2 linked regions of the Elephas maximus indicus genome follow. The protein of the gene in region 1 binds, or shares a complex with, the protein of each later gene. Links are inferred from orthologs where the notes say so. Each region holds a gene or a part of one and is shown on either strand. Other genes may lie near its edges. The genes, in order: FLT1 and VEGFB.

The links.
Region 2: the proteins of FLT1 (region 1) and VEGFB are in contact, whole or in part, in a crystal structure (PDB 2XAC), measured with the Homo sapiens proteins. The link is inferred for Elephas maximus indicus from reciprocal best matches to the Homo sapiens genes FLT1 and VEGFB. Residues at the interface, in NP_002010.2 of Homo sapiens: Tyr139, Glu141, Pro143, Phe172, Pro173, Tyr199, Ile202, Gly203, Leu204, Asn219, Leu221, Arg224, Thr226; in NP_003368.1 of Homo sapiens: Ser37, Trp38, Ile39, Tyr42, Thr43, Thr46, Cys47, Gln48, Pro83, Asp84, Asp85, Gly86, Leu87, Cys124, Arg125, Pro126.

Annotation. Positions count from the first base shown.
Region 1 is NC_064841.1:60,817,743-60,824,825, reverse strand, and holds the start of FLT1 (vascular endothelial growth factor receptor 1), read left to right. Parts: upstream 1-3,993; 5' UTR 3,994-4,189; intron 4,190-4,265; exon of another isoform or gene 4,266-4,383; intron 4,384-4,494; 5' UTR 4,495-4,751; coding exon 4,752-4,815; intron 4,816-7,083. UniProt on the Homo sapiens protein: Tyrosine-protein kinase that acts as a cell-surface receptor for VEGFA, VEGFB and PGF, and plays an essential role in the development of embryonic vasculature, the regulation of angiogenesis, cell survival, cell migration, macrophage function, chemotaxis, and cancer cell invasion.
Region 2 is NC_064825.1:127,414,240-127,422,072, forward strand, and holds the start of VEGFB (vascular endothelial growth factor B), read left to right. Parts: upstream 1-4,574; 5' UTR 4,575-4,794; coding exon of another isoform or gene 4,795-4,831; coding exon 4,832-4,891; coding exon of another isoform or gene 4,892-5,281; intron 5,282-5,434; coding exon 5,435-5,477; exon of another isoform or gene 5,478-5,797; intron 5,798-5,811; coding exon 5,812-6,008; intron 6,009-6,176; coding exon 6,177-6,250; intron 6,251-6,440; coding exon 6,441-6,476; intron 6,477-6,722; coding exon 6,723-6,936; coding exon of another isoform or gene 6,937-6,958; intron 6,959-7,586; coding exon of another isoform or gene 7,587-7,608; 3' UTR 7,609-7,833. Other genes in the region: DNAJC4 (dnaJ homolog subfamily C member 4), read left to right, coding at 1,085-1,312, 1,814-1,998, 2,082-2,246, 3,944-4,030, 4,114-4,219. UniProt on the Homo sapiens protein: Growth factor for endothelial cells. VEGF-B167 binds heparin and neuropilin-1 whereas the binding to neuropilin-1 of VEGF-B186 is regulated by proteolysis.

The sequences.
Region 1 (7,083 bases):
AGAGAGAGAGAAGTTTAATGGGAATGAGTTTGAGTCTATAGGGTCCCTAAGAGTCATGGGACTTTGGGTTATAAGAGTCTACAGTTACAGATCCTGCCAGACAATAAAGCGCTTGTGAAAAAGCCTTGAGGTTTTTAACCAATAGTAAATGGGGAAGGCATGCAGTGCTACAGAACAGGCTCCTTTGATCTTAAACTGCAGAAACAGAAGTGAAGTATCCCTGTCACAGCCCCCGGGGAGTAAAAGGAGTCCAGAGCGATGAGATACAGCTCTGAGCTAGGAGACACCCAGCCTCAGAAAGAAGCTAGAAGCACAAATTAATCAAAATGAGATCTTATAAACACAGCAGCGGCATCAGCCTCTGGGAGGGACCAGGGATCAGGGATGGGCTGAAGCAGGTGGAGCAGAATGAGGAGCAAGGGTGTACCTGGCTGGTGGCCCCTAAGAGATGCCATCAGTTGGGTGGGTGGTGCTCCTGAGTGTGGTACCCACTGCCCTCATCCTCGAGATCTCTAAGGGACGCTTCCCTCTGCTCTTCCTCCATCCTGGGTGTTCCCTCCATCTAAACTACTCTCCCTTCCTCTCTCACCTCCGGGCCTTCCCACCTGCTATTCTCTGTGCCCTGATGGGGCAAAAATCTCTAGGTGGAAGAAAATAGAGTTCTGTTGCATTTTCAATCCTGAGTATCTCACCTGTGGTGGTTGTTGTTGGGTGCCATTGATTCTGACTCATAGCAACCCCAGGTGACAGAAAAGACTTGCCCCATCGGGTTTTCTAGGCTATCATCTTTACTGGAGCGGATTGCCACGTTTGTCTCCCTCAGAGCCACTGGGTGGATTCAAACTACTAATCTTTTAGTTAGCAGCCAACCATTGAACCATTGTGCCACCAGGGCTCCTTCTCACCTGTGGGGAACCCGATAAACTGGAACCTGTGGAGAGGAATTTGAGGGGATTTCAGGAGCATGTCATTTGAGGAGCGATCAAAGCGGCAGGGATGTTGAGCCTGGAGAGGAGAAGATACATGGGGCCCAGAATATCTGCCTTCGGGTGTTGGATACATTTTCATGTGGAAATATCAGAGTTGGATGGCTACTGAACCTTATTTTAAAGGAAATCCATTGATTGGCTCAGTAGATGGGTTGAACTACTTTTAAGAAAACCCACTGTGGCACAGTTCTACTCTGACACACATGTGTTCACCATGAGTCAAAGTCAACTTGATGGCAACTGGTACCACGTATTTCCATTCTTTGGAAATGGAGACAATTTCTGCCATAGTCAGGTTGCCTTGAGCAAGATTTTGAAGCCAGTGAGTTATGAGCATCTGACTAATAAAACCATAAATATGCCCGTCTGGGTGTCTCAACACAATTTCCTACCACAGGTTTGAGTGAGGACACATGCTTCTTAGATAAGGGAGCTGGAACTGTCAAGAGCATATGTATTGGTGAGTTACTTTTCATATAACACAGAAGGGGTTTATAGATCACCTGGTATTTGTAACCGACCGTACATCTTTACACTGTGTGGTATGTATGAAGCTAACTAACCCATGAGGGGATGGAAATTGTCACTGACCCTCAGTGACTACGAGGTCAGTAGTTTCCCCCTTGGTCCACTGTGGGAAGATGAGGCCCTGGACTCCCTCCTGTCTCTCGCACTGATGTCCCAACACTCTTATTAGTCGGTCTTGAATATGAGAGCTGTTGGTTTTACCAATAGCGTACTTCTGAATAGGGACCAGAAAGAATTCTCAAGAGAATGTTTGCAGCTGATAACAAGAGAGAGTGTCTGGTTTTGCTACCAAGCTGGCAATGAAATGCTCTTTTGTATGTGAGCAGGAAGCAGATAGATAGTCGACCTCAATAGCTTTTTATACCTACCAGGCATGCTGAATTTGATCTTGTCCATCACTATTAGCTATAGAATTTCTTTCATCTGCAATTTAGTCAGAAGTGTGCTGTAGCCCATTCTCCGTCAATGGTATTATCTTTTGGGGGAGGAGTTTGAGAGCTATACCTTTATTCCCTAGCTCTAAGCTCTCTCACATAACCCTTTGACAATTTGTAGCATCTTGAGTTCTCTGTGAGGAGGCTAGTGAAACTTATCAAAAGAAGTAGTTAAAAAGAAAAGAAAAAAACATTGCTGACTATAGCAAAAGCCGACAACTTTTCAAAAGAAGAGTTGTGTGGAGGACCCCTCTCACTGCAGAAGGTTTCAGTGTAAATCTAGGTCAGATTGGACCTTGACTCTTTTAAACTTAAATACGGCACTATATTAAGCACTCAGCTGCAAACCAAAATTTGCCAAACCCACCATCCACTCCATGTGGCAGTCTGCTTCCATAGAGATTACAGCCTTGGAACCGCTATGGGGCAGTTCTCCTCTGTCCTATAGGGTCACTATAAGTCAGAGTTGACATGACAGCAACAGGAAAACTATCACTGACTAGCATCTTAGATGCTCACCTGCTTATAAAGATCTCTTCAACTGTCAACTACCTTCTTTGGGTTCACAAACACACTCAATGTACGTTCATTTCTGGCAGCAGGTTTAGAAAATGGGGTCTATGTGTTTTAAACAATCAAAACAGCATTTGAAAATACATGAAAACTTTATATGTTGTGCTGTGCAAGTGGGGAACTGAGAACCATTTCCCCCAGCAGCAGCTCAGGCATCACTTCTGAGGAGCCCTTCTGGAACTTTCCAGGCCCATCTTGGTGCCTTGTCTTCTCTTCTCTGCCCATCTTGTATACTCAGCACCCCTCCAGCATTGTAACTCTCCAGCCTCCTCAGCAGATCCTGAGCCCCTTGGTAGGCAGTGATCTCTTCTCATGTGAGTGTGTTCTACCCTAGCACAACGCCTGGCCCTTGTTAGGTTCTGGAGGACAACGCTGACAGCTTCTCCTTGGGACAGGGCGTAGGAGTGACCAGCAGCTCTGAAATGAGGCTGCCGGACCCCTTGGCTCTGGGGGTGGAAGGGGCTGTGCCCTGGGCTGGGTGAACAGTCGGGACAAGGATCAGGGGCTCAGCTTCCAGCTGTCCGATCAGTATTTATCAGCTGTACGCCAGATGATTGCATGGTTTTGGAGGAGAAAGTTTTGAGCAAGGCAGAGAAAAGGAGCCAGGGAGAACTGGGAGGGCAGTAGAGTGATGAGGAGCACTGAAAAAAACAAGAGAGATGGTCCCGTCAGAGGCTAGCGTTGATTGTCCAGTCTTCGCTTCTCCTGAACCACGAAAGCCTGTGGCTCAGGCGCCCGGAATGCAGGTGTGCAGACGTGCGTTCCCCGCACGGGGAGGCGGGTGGCTGGGGCATCAGCTCTGTCTGTGATGCCGGGACATGTGGCAACGTCAGGTTACCCAACCTTCCAGATACGGAGGTATGTAGTTCAGTCCTTCAGGGAGAATCGCCGGCTCCGTTTAGGAGCCACCAAGGTCCTTTTCATTAGGGTTGTCTGCCACGTTCCAATAAGAACTAATTCTTAAAGCAGTTTTTACAGAGACAAGACTGGGCTGCTCCGTGGAGCCCAGAGCCATTTCAGCCTTTGAGGTAGTGGAGACATAATTGAGGATCAACGTGGAATTAGTGTCATCGCAAATGATCTAGTGCCTCCAGTTCATGTCAACTGGTTTTGTTCAAAGAGCGGCACAGTCACTCATTTTGCGTAGAAAATTGCCACCCAGCAAGATTTCTTTGGTCAGAGCGATTAGAGAATAAAGTTCGAGTGCTCAGCCCTTGCAAGTTGCAAGAGTGGTTTCATGCTTCAGCTTTTTAAAAAGTATTAGGATGTTCTATTCCTTGTTTTGCTTCTAGGAAGCATGGGGTTGAGGAAATGACTTGGGCGGTTGCATCTTTGCGGCAGAAAAAGACACAAACTCGTTCCCCAGGGAGCACTCATCCCGTTGGGTCACCTCCGGGCGCTCCCGGTCAAGTCTCCCGTGTAGAGGGTCCCCGGCTTCGTCTTAGCCGTCTCGGGACGGTCTGGCGGGACTGGGGGCAGCAGGGCGGCGCAGCCAGAACCCGGCAGGAGAGAGCGCGCCTGTGGCTCCCTCCTTGTGCCCAGGACGCTGTCGCGCAGAGTTCCCTTGGAGCGGTTTGCAGGGGCGCTGCTCCGACTTTCCGCCCGCACCGGGGCGTGGGACGCCAGCCTCTCTGCCCTCCCCACTCCAGGCGGCCCCCGAGCTGAGTAAGCCGGGGGGGGGGGAGGGAGCCCTCAAGGATTTCCTGCCGGCGATGGCGGGGAGGGGGGAGCGGCGCGGCGGCCGGAGGGCCTGAACCTGCGGGGCCGCGCTCACGCTGCCGCGCTCCGCGGGCTACCCCGCCCTGGCGCCCCCGCCCCTGCGCGGAGCGGTCGGGAAGCAGCCCGGGAGGAAGAAGAGGGTAGGTGGGAGGCGGATGAGGGGTGGGGGACCCCTTGACGTCACGGGAGGAGGTGCCGGGGAGGAAGTGGGCCGGGGAAAGGTTATAAGCCGCCCCCGCCCTGCTCCTCAGAGTTGAGGTCCGCAGGAGACTCGGGGAGCGCGCGGCGGTCACTTCTCGCGCTCCTCCCGGCGGCAGCAGCGGCGGCGCGGAGCGGCTTCGGGCTTGGCTGCGAGGATTACCCACAGAGGGAGTTTGTCCCCCCGGCTGGAGCGACGACGACGGGCGCTCGGGGTGCAGGGCTGCAGCTCGAGGCCGGGCTCAGGCGGCGGGGTCGTGGGCCCGCGGGGAGCGCGGGCGCCGGGCGAACAGGCCGCATCGCGCTCACCATGGTCAGCTGCTGGGACACCGCGGTCCTGCTGTGCGCACTGCTCGGGGGGCTGGTTCTCGCAGGTGAGGCGCGCCGGGGGTCGAGTCCTGCTCGGGGAGGGCAGGGCCGGGGCCAGCGGGGAGGGGGGGCTGCAGCCGGGAGGGCGAGCCGCCGGGAACTTGGGAGACTAAACTGGTGCGGTCCCGCCTGCGGACGCGGCGCCCTCTCCTCCGCCGCGCGGCGGGCGCTGCGAGCGGACAGCGGCGGGGGGCCCGCCGGCATTGCAGCTCGCCCGGCCGCGGGCGCAGCGTCGGGTCCCACTGGGAGGGCTCGCCGGCCCCCAAAGCTGGCTCCCGGGCCGGAGCTCCTGGCGGGCACTCAGTCTGCGCCGGACGCCCTGTGCTGGGCTGCGGCGCCCTCCGGAGCCCGGGGAGCGGCGCCCGGAACGCCCCGAGGCTGCCGGACTGGGCTGAGCGCGCCGTTGGCGACATTGGTCATCGGCCACCATCTCGAGACAGAGAAGGGCAGAGCCAACTTGGAGGGGGCGCGTGCTGGCGGGAACCAGACGGATCCCAGGAGAGGGCAAGCACTGTGATCTCCCTCCCCGCAGCGGGAGCTTTTGGCAGCGCCTCCTCTTGCCTCCGCCGTGCAGAGCGAGCTGCGCGCAGCCGGCCGGTGGCGCTTTTGCCCGGAGCCGACGGGCACGCGGTGCAGCCAGGTCGCCGACGTGAGTGGCCCTGGACTGACGAGGGCGGCCGAGGACCCAGACACCGTTAGGTTTCGGAATTGCAAGCCTAGCCTTGGAATTCCGAGCTAAGAAAGGGCGGACGATGTGTGGACCAAAGATGCGGTCAGAGGATTCGGTGCGGTCCGCCCCGCTGCGGAGTCGGCCTTTGCGAGAAGACAGGGATAACCTGCGGCGGAGCCTCGGGGGTCAGGAGGCTATGCGAGCAGTTAGTGTGGAGGTGGCCCCACAGAGGGGTCAAAGCCTGAGAGGACTTAGAGACCCGGACTCGCCATCTCTGCCCAGCGGGGCAGACTGACGGTACCCTCGGGTCCAGTCCCCCTGGGCGCAGAGCCAGATTTCGGAGCACCTTTCTTTTTAAGCAACCTGGAGAAAGGTTAAATATGAAACAAGATACAGTATTATAAACTAAAATCAGTCATTGCAACGTTTCCCAGGAAGGAAAGTCAGTAGAGTTGAGCATATTAAAGAACAAACAAATAAAAAACTTGCTAAGTCTAGAAGGAAGAAAAAATTTGCGGTCGAGTTGATTCAACTCATAGCGACCCAGCAGGACAAAGTAGAACTGACTCATAGGATTTCCAAGGCTGTAACCGTTAAATGTCGTTTCTCAGTGGGAACACTCACCTGTATCATCAGTTTTTAAGGAACAAGTAAGAGTTCCAATTAAATTGGTGATCCCTTAAAGCCAGGAGATGGGGTCCAAATTGTGAAGCCTGAGAACTTGCTGTAGGTTTGGAAAGTTGCTCAAATAACGAAATGAAATATTGTATTTTCTATTTCACAGATGCGTTTGTGTTTTGAAGTCACTTACAGGGTCGCTATGAGTCGGAATCGACTCGAGGGCACTGGGGTTTTATATTGAAATACAATTGCTTAAGAATTTAGTAAACCTGCCAAAGCTATTTCCAGTATGTAAAGGTAAATTAATGCAAATCCAAAAAATGGGGTGAGGGAAATACTGTTTTACTGGAGTTTCTGTTTCACACACATACAACTTTATTTTTCTTTCAAGAAACATGGTTCTCTCTCTGATTATCCAACTTTATTGTTTTTTAAACTTTTTTTACAAATTTCTGTATTCGTTGTGGCGGTTTTTGTACTGAGAAATACATTAATGTTTTCGTGGTGGCTACCTTTTTTACCTATGGTCAGTTTTTAGAAATGCTCTACAGATTCTAGAATATATTTTCACTATAATTTGTCAATATCGATAGTAAATATTTATTAAGGCACCCTTAATAGGATTTTAAATACAATGTTCGGATCTCAAAAAAAAAAAAAAGTGGTTGGCTTCACTGAATAGAAGCAACTTTAATCTGTGGAAATTTTTCCAAAATGTAGGTGGGAGCTTCTTGGTGATTTCGCTTAGATTTTATTTTACTAAAATGGGGCAAGATTTAAAAGAAATCTTGGCACTCTTGTAATTTTTTAAAAAATGCTCGTGTGCATAGACAGGAAGAAAGGGGAGCCAACAGTGCCGAGGTGATGGCCCTTTTCCTCGGGCAGCTTAGGGAGTTTGCAATTGCAAAGCCTGCCTTTGCAAACTTAAACTGCAGGTGTCTTAGCTGATTAGCAACTGTCTCAGACAGTAAAACCATCAGCT
Region 2 (7,833 bases), on another chromosome or scaffold:
TCCGTTGTCAGAGGCGGGGACAGGTCCAGGACCCTAGATTCTGGTCCTGGGCAAGGAGGCCCCACCCGCCCCAGGGTTCCCCGGGTTTACTTCAGTTTTCCTTGGCAAGAAAACGGGGCCAGGTCCCTTCTCGGAGTACTTGAAGTCCGGCCCCGTCCTGGTCTCCATGCATTCCTCTCTGTGGCCTCCTTTCCCCAGCTGCCCGCCCGCCATCATGCCGCCCCTGCTGCCCCTGCTGCCCCTGCGCCTGTGCCAGCTGTGGCGCCGCAGCCCCCCCACCCGGCTCCTTGGAGCGGCCGCCGGGCAGCGGTGAGTTGGGGGCCAGAAGCCAGGCCCAGTCGTTCAGTGGGTTTTTGTTGAGAATCTACCGAGCTCTGGGCCCTGCCCTCGATGCTCGGATAGTTGGGTCTCCACCCTGTGCCAGGTGCCTTACAGGCTAATCTCAGGTAACCCTCACCCTCACTGCTGAGGACCCTGAGGATCAGAGATTAAGGGACGACCCCAAGGTTGTACAGCGAGTTAAGTGGCAGACTTGGCATCTGTTCAACCCGATGTGCTTTCCACAACACTAGTAGTCATTGACCATCACTGCACATAAGCCACCTGGAGGGTAGGGGGAGTTGCAAAAATGTGGATTCCTGGGCCCAGCCCTAGAGATTCTGATCTGGAGGAACAAGGTGGGTCTCAGGAATCTGGTTTTTTAACAAGGTCTTTAGGTGTTTCTGCTGCAGAGGGTCTGAGGACCACAATCGGAATAGTCCTGATTTGTACGCCTTCAACACTCAAAAAGGGAGGAGGGATTTGGAGCTATGTCTGTGTTGGGACCTGCCTCAGCCCCTGAGCCTCGAGGAGTGGGGGTTGGAGCCTTCAAAGAGGCCTGGTGTCCACCTGGGGTACTGGGCCAGAGGGGGACCCCAGATCCCTCAGGGCTTCACTCTGGAACCACAAGGTCTCATGAGGGAATGTCTTTATCCCAAGGGAGAGGGCTAGGGATCTGCTCAGCCCCCCACCGTGTCTCCCTGGGAAGCGTACAGTGCAGAGGGCTCTGAAGCTCAGGAACCCTGGGCAAGCTCAGGAGGGAGACATGAGGGCTGGATGTCTGGGTCTCCCTGCCCAGTTGAATCAAAGAGTGGGCATGGCCAGAGAGGATGGGAGGAGCAAGGAGGGGGTATCCTCTCGGTTCCCTCAGCCCCTGCAGGTTCGGGCCTCTCTCCTCAGGTCTGGCCCCAGTAACTACTATGAATTGCTAGGGGTGCATCCTGGTGCCAGCCCTGAAGAAATTAAACGAGCTTTCTTCACCAAGTCCAAAGAGGTACCCATGCTCATAAGGGGGTGGAAAGGGAAGTCTGAGTCAGCTAGGGATATGCTCCAAACTCCTAGGAACGGAGGTGGGGTAGAATTGTGTCCCTAGCTGGTGCCACATCCCCTTAGCCTGCAAGGTAAGGAGTGGGAGTGCCCAAAGAGGGGGAATCTGGACCAGGTGGGAGGGAAGGTTGGGGTAGGAGCCAGTGGTCCTCTCTAAGGGGCTGGGCATGGTTCTTTTGATTTGCCTGCCCACTGTTGACTTAAAAGGCCTGGATGAGGGCATATGGTGAGAGTAGGGGCTGGCAGAGAGGGATGGCCCGAACACGGTGAGGGCAAGTCTGTGCTTCCTCACTCTGGCCGTCCAGAGGGCAGGCAGGCTTGAATTCAAGGGTCGCTTACCAGCTAGGCCTCTCAGAGTGATTGAGCCCTTGTGGGTGGACATCATTGAGGTGGGTCCTGGGAGAAGGGGCATGGAAAGGGAGATGAGGGGAGTCCTGTCCCACACCAGCTGCACCCCGACCGGGACCCTGGGAACCCGGCCCTGCACAACCGCTTTGTGGAGCTGAATGAGGCATACCATGTGCTCAGCCATGAGCAGAGCCGCCGCAGCTACGACCACCAGCTCCGCTGGTCAAGCCCCTTAAAGTCTCCAGGGACCACAGCCCATCCTGGACCTGCCCACCAAGCACGCAGGTACACCAGTCCTGCCCCCAGCTCATCCCTCCAGGTCTCCTGGGCAGCCTCATCCCCACACTGTATCTCCCTCTCTTTCCCAGCAGCTCCTGGGCACCTCCCAACGCACAGTACTGGGCCCAGTTCCACCGCGTGAGGCCACAGGGGCCTGAGGCGAGGCAGCAGCAGCACAGACACAACCAGCGGGTGCTGGGGTATTGCTTTCTGCTCATGCTGGCAGGCATGGGCCTGCACTATGTCGCCTTCAGGTGCACTCTGGCTCCTTGGGTAGTGGGCATGGGCGGGAGGGCAGGAGAGACTGTGAGCTCAGTAGGCTCTCCCCGTGGCCCCCATGGCCGACGCTCTTGTGTTCCTCAAGCTAAGAACTTCATTAAACCCCATCTCTGGAGCCTCTTCTTACTTGGCAGAAGCAGAGGCACTAATGGCTAACGTTGTCATTTTCTGTTTTTCATAATTTGAACGTAATTCTTTGGTGCCAGCTGCCAAGCAGCACTGGAGCAAACCCAAATCGTGAACAAGAAGCAAAGGCCCAAACCTCATGGGATTTGGTTCCTTGGTTTTTGAGGTTTAGGGTCATGATTTTATGAGACATCCCAGTTAATAGGCCTAATACCGTGTTTAGTGCTTCTGGTCTATTGTGTAGTGGCTGGAGTCTTAAAAGCTTGCAAGCAGCCATCCAGGGCACAACAATTGGTCTCTATGCACCTGGAGCAACAGAGGTGGGAAGGAGAGTCAGGAACAGGAGGAGGAAGTGGAATGTGTGGCTAATTGCCTTCATGAACAATGGTCTCCTTTGCCATGAACCCAGAAGAGCTGAATGGTGCCCAGCTACCATTACTAAACATTTTGATCAAAGATTCCATAGAAGAATCCTGATCAAAAGGAGAAAATACAGGACAGAATTTCAAATTCTCATGGACTCTGGACTTTCTGGAGCCATGGAGGCTGGATGAACCCCTGAAACTACTGCCCTGATATCATCTTTAAACCTTAAACCAAAAATATTCCCAGAAGTCATCTTAAAACCAAACAATAGTTTAGCTTAACTGGTAAAAAAGGTCTGCCTTGAACATTATGCTCTTTAAAGAGCTCTCTCTATGGGATCAGACTGAAAACAGCAACTCGAAAGATCAGATGGGAACCTTAGGGGGCAGCAAGTGTGTGTTAATGAGGGAGGAACAACTTAGAGAAGGTGGGTGAGAATGGTTGTACAACTCGAAGGGTGTAATCCATGTCACTCAGTTGTACATGTGGAAACTGTTCAATTGCTGTATGTTTTGCTATGCATTTTCTCAACAACAAGGAAGTAAATAAAATTTAGAGAAGAAAAAAAAAAAGAAAAAGCAGTCTGTGGACCAGAACCAGAGCATGAACTGTTTGCTACCAATGAGATGAAGGTATGGTAAGCATTTAGAAACTTTTATAGTGATTTGGAATAGTAATTTTATGTATGTTCAATCTAATAATTTAAAATAAGGCTTATATTCTGTTAAAAAAAAGAGTTGAAGAAGAAACAAGTCATCTTCACTGGTCCTCACCCACACCATCCTCACTCAGTCAGTCTGCCGGTTCCCGGCCACTCCTGCTTCCAGGCACACCAGTACCATGGCGGTGATTTTCTACAGCAAAGATACCCATAGGCTGGTACCCACAGCTAGCAGCCTGTCTGGTTCAGGGATAGGGTTAGAGGCACAATCCTGTGTAGCCTCCTGCCAGGATCAAGCCGATGTCCAGAGTTCCTGTCACTAACTTCAGCAGAACGGCCAGGGACCTGGGTCACCATTGGACCCTGGACAAGCCGTGGCACATTGTTTCCCTTCCCCACATACACAGGCTAAGGTCCCACATATGTAAAGCCATGAGACCCCAGGGTGAGGTGGAGGGGAGCAGGACTTGGGGGGCAGCAGGGATAGGGAACCCAGGGTTAATAGTAAACCCCTTGCAGGAAGCTGGAGCAGATGCACCGTAGCTTCATGGATGAAAAGGACCGGATCATCACTGCCATCTACAACGACACGCGGGCCCGGGCCAGGTCTGTCCCTGCCCTACCCTGCCCCTTCCTCACCGCCTTGGCACCACCCTCCCTGCCCCAGCCAACGGGTGCTCTCTCTTCAGGGCCAACAGAGCCAGGCTCCAGCAGGAGCGACTGCAGAGACAGCAGCCGCCGCTGCCAGGGCCTCCCCAGGACCCTGGGATGGTGCCCAGAGGCGCTGACCCGTGAGGGGCCGCCTGGACGGGGCCTGCAGTGTGTCCCCTCCTTGCCTTCCTCCCAGGGCTCCCCACTCCCCAAAACGCGTGCAATAAAGTCATTTTCAGCTCTAGTATCTGGCTGCCTCCTTCAGCCCAAGCCCCCCGCCAGGGCCTCGCCTTGGGGCTGCGCCCCGCCCTCGGGTTCTGGCGGCGGCAACCCAGGAGCCCGGCCCCCTGGGCGGTGCGTCCCCTTTCCCCTGCTGCAGCGGGAGGGGGCGTGTGGAGGGCGGACCCCGCAGCCCCCGCCCCGCCCCCGCCCCACGGCCCGGTGGGGAGCTCGTTGTCTGGGTCACATGAGCCGCCCGCCCGCCAGCCCGGGCCCGGCCCCCCGCCGCCCCAGCCGTCCCCGCCGTTGCCCGCTGCCGGCCGCCCGCCCGTCTGGCTCCTCCGGCCGCCGCCGCTGCGCTGCGCTGCGCTGCCTGCGCCTAGGGCTCGGGAGGGGGCCGCGGAGGAGTCGCCCCCGGTGCCCGGCCCCCGCCCGCCGCGCCCGGGCCCGCGCCATGGGGCTGTGGCTGCCACCGCCCCCCGCGCCACCGGGCTAGGGCAATGCGGGCGTCCCCGGCGCGCGGCCCTCGTGGGCACCATGGGCCCCCTGCTCCGCCGCCTGCTGCTCGCCGCGCTCCTGCAGCTGGCCCCCGCCCAGGTACGTGCGGCCCTGCAGCCCGCTGCCTGCCGTGCCCTCTCAAGGTTGGCGGAAGTGGGGAGGCGCGTGCCTCGGCTGAGGGAGCTGCGGGGTCCTCCTTGGACCGGGGCATTGCCGGGCCAGAGCATCCCCCGGGAGGCGCCCCTCCTGCCGCCTCAGCCTTGGGGCCACTCCCCCACCGCACCCCGTCCCACCCGTCCCCTGGGCGCAGTCGGGGGCGGAGCCACTTCGGTGCCTGCAGGACCTGGTTTCGGCGCCCACTGTGTCCCCTCCTGACCTGCTGCCTCCAGCACAAGGCCAACCGCGAGGCTTGGAGATTCGACGCCGCCTGCAGAGCGCGCAAGGCGGGTCTTGGGCCAGGGCAGGTCCCAGGTGGCCAGGAGAGGACAGGTAAAGCTAGAGCCATGGCCCCAGGAACAAAGCAATCTGGGAAGATGTCAGACCTTGAGGACAGAACCCTGGACAGCAACGGGGCCAGCCCTTCCTAGAGCCCTCCCTGGGTCCAAGGGGTGTCCCCCACCTCAGGCCTCTTGTCTCCCACAGGCCCCTGCCTCCCAGCCTGATGTCCCTGGCCACCAAAAGAAAGGTAATAATAGTAACAGTAACTTGGTAAGAGCCAGCACAAAGTGGGTTTGCCACATGCCCTGATTCTGAGTACCTTGTTGCTGTCATCTTGTGTCATCACAACTGTCCTGTAAGATGCCAAATCTTATTGTGCCCATTTCACAGAGGATAGCATTGAGGCTGTGGGGTTCCTGGGTTCTGGAGACAGGGCAGGGGAAGACAAGTTGGAAGGGCAGGTGGAGGCCAGCTGTGACATGGAGACTGGGGAGAAGAGCTGCTGGGGTGGGGGGCAGGGGAACCAGGGAGCAGCTGCAGGAAACCCCGTGGGGACTTAACCCTTACCGGTCTGCCCCCAGTGGTGTCATGGATCGATGTATATGCCCGTGCCACCTGCCAGCCTCGGGAGGTGGTAGTGCCCCTGACAGTGGAGCTCATGGGCACTGTGGCCAAGCAACTGGTGCCCAGCTGCGTAACTGTGCACCGCTGTGGTGGCTGCTGTCCTGACGACGGCCTGGAGTGCGTGCCTACTGGGCAACACCAAGTCCGAATGCAGGTACCAGGGCAGGTGGAGTGTGCCTGGCTTGGGTGGACACTGGGGCACAGGGAGGGGTGGGGACCATGGGCCTGCCTGTTGGACAGGCTGTTTTCCCTCCAGCCCTTGGAGTGTCCCCTTTGGCTTTCACGCCCACTGTCTTACCTGTCCTCCTCCTCCCGAGCACAGATCCTCGTGATCCGGTACCCTAGCAGTCAGCTGGGGGAGATGTCCCTGGAGGAGCACAGCCAGTGTGAATGCAGGTGCCAGCCAGGCCCACCTTCTGCACTCACAGACACCAGGCTTGAGGGGTGATGGGTGTATGGCACCTGGGGGTGGGGACCGGGTTTCTGGGAGTAGAGCCAGGCTAGGCCTGGGATCTGGGGCAAGAGAGTGGGGTGCTTGAATTTCCTGATCCTCCCTCTCCTTGTCTCTGTCTCTCTTACCTTTCAGACCCAAAAAAAGAGAGAGTGCTGGGAAGCCAGACAGGTGAGCCTTTCCAGCTCCTGCTGAGGTGGAGTTGGAGCCCAGGATGGGTGGGGTGCGTGGAGTAGAGGCTATACAAGTGTGTCAGGAAGCTGTGGTCCCCTCCCTCTTTCTCCTCCCACTTGTCCCCCCTCCCCTTTCCATCTGCTCCCGAGTCAAGTCGTGTGCTCTGGGGTCTGACCTGACCCCAGCTCCCGGAAGCTGGAAGCCTCTTTCTTCCTGCCCCAGACATGTTGCTTCTCCTCCTAGGGCTTCCACTCCCCACCACCGCCCCCAGCCCCGCTCCATTCCGGGCTGGGACTCTGTCCCCGGAGCACCCTCCCCAGCTGACATCACCCATCCCACTCCAGCCCCAGGCCCCTCTGCCCACGCTGCACCCAGCGCCGCCAGCGCCCTGACCCCCAGACCTGCCACTGCCGCTGCCGACGCCGCAGCTTCCTCCGTTGCCAAGGGCGGGGCTTAGAGCTCAACCCAGACACCTGCAGGTGAGGGGCTTGCGGGCTGGGTCTTTTGGGAAGGCCTCAGGCCCGGTCCTGGAGCAGGTCCAGCATGCGTCTGCCAGTGGGAGGAGAGCCAGGGAAGTGAAAGCTGTTGAATGTGTTGAACAAGTATTTCCCAAGTGTCTGCTGCATCGTGATGAGCGTATACAAGGCTAATGCTCTAAGGTGGGAGTTGGGAGTTGGATGCGAGGACAGATCGTGCTAGCAGTGGAGGTTGAGAGCTGTGGTGAGGGCCACCTGAGCCCATCTTTGAGAGGTCAGAGAAGTTCTCCTTGAGGAGGTGACATTTGACTAGAGATGAAGGAGACAACCTCTCCCAGTTTGCAAAGCTCTGGGCTTCCCAGAAGCCCCTGTGGTAGACATATGGCCCACATCATGGGTACCAAGAGGCCAGGGGATGTGGTGGGACCCAGTCTGCCGCCCTTTTCTGAGGTGCTCTCACCCCTTCTCCACTCCACAGGCAAGCCATGGGGTGTCGTCATTAGGACCAGACCAGTTGGGGCTTACCAGGAGTGTTAGGCGAGAATGGGATTCACTGAGAGTAACAAGGGGTGAGTAAAGAGGAGCTGGGGCTGAGCTCCAGCTGGTGTAAACAGACCCCTCCCCTCTTCAGGTGCCGGAAGCTGCGAAGGTGACACATTGCTTTTCGGACTCAGCAGGGCCACTTGCCTCACAGGCCACACCCCAGAAGGGGACAAGAGGGGAGCCTGATGAGGACACTCCAGCCCTCAAAACCTCAGCCAGGGCAGACGTTGCTCCAGGACCTGGGCCTCTCAGGGGGCTCTCCTGCTGTCCCTTGTGCCCCCGAGGCCACCGTCCAGTTGGGTGGGCACAGTTGGGCAAGAAGACTTGGAGGCATC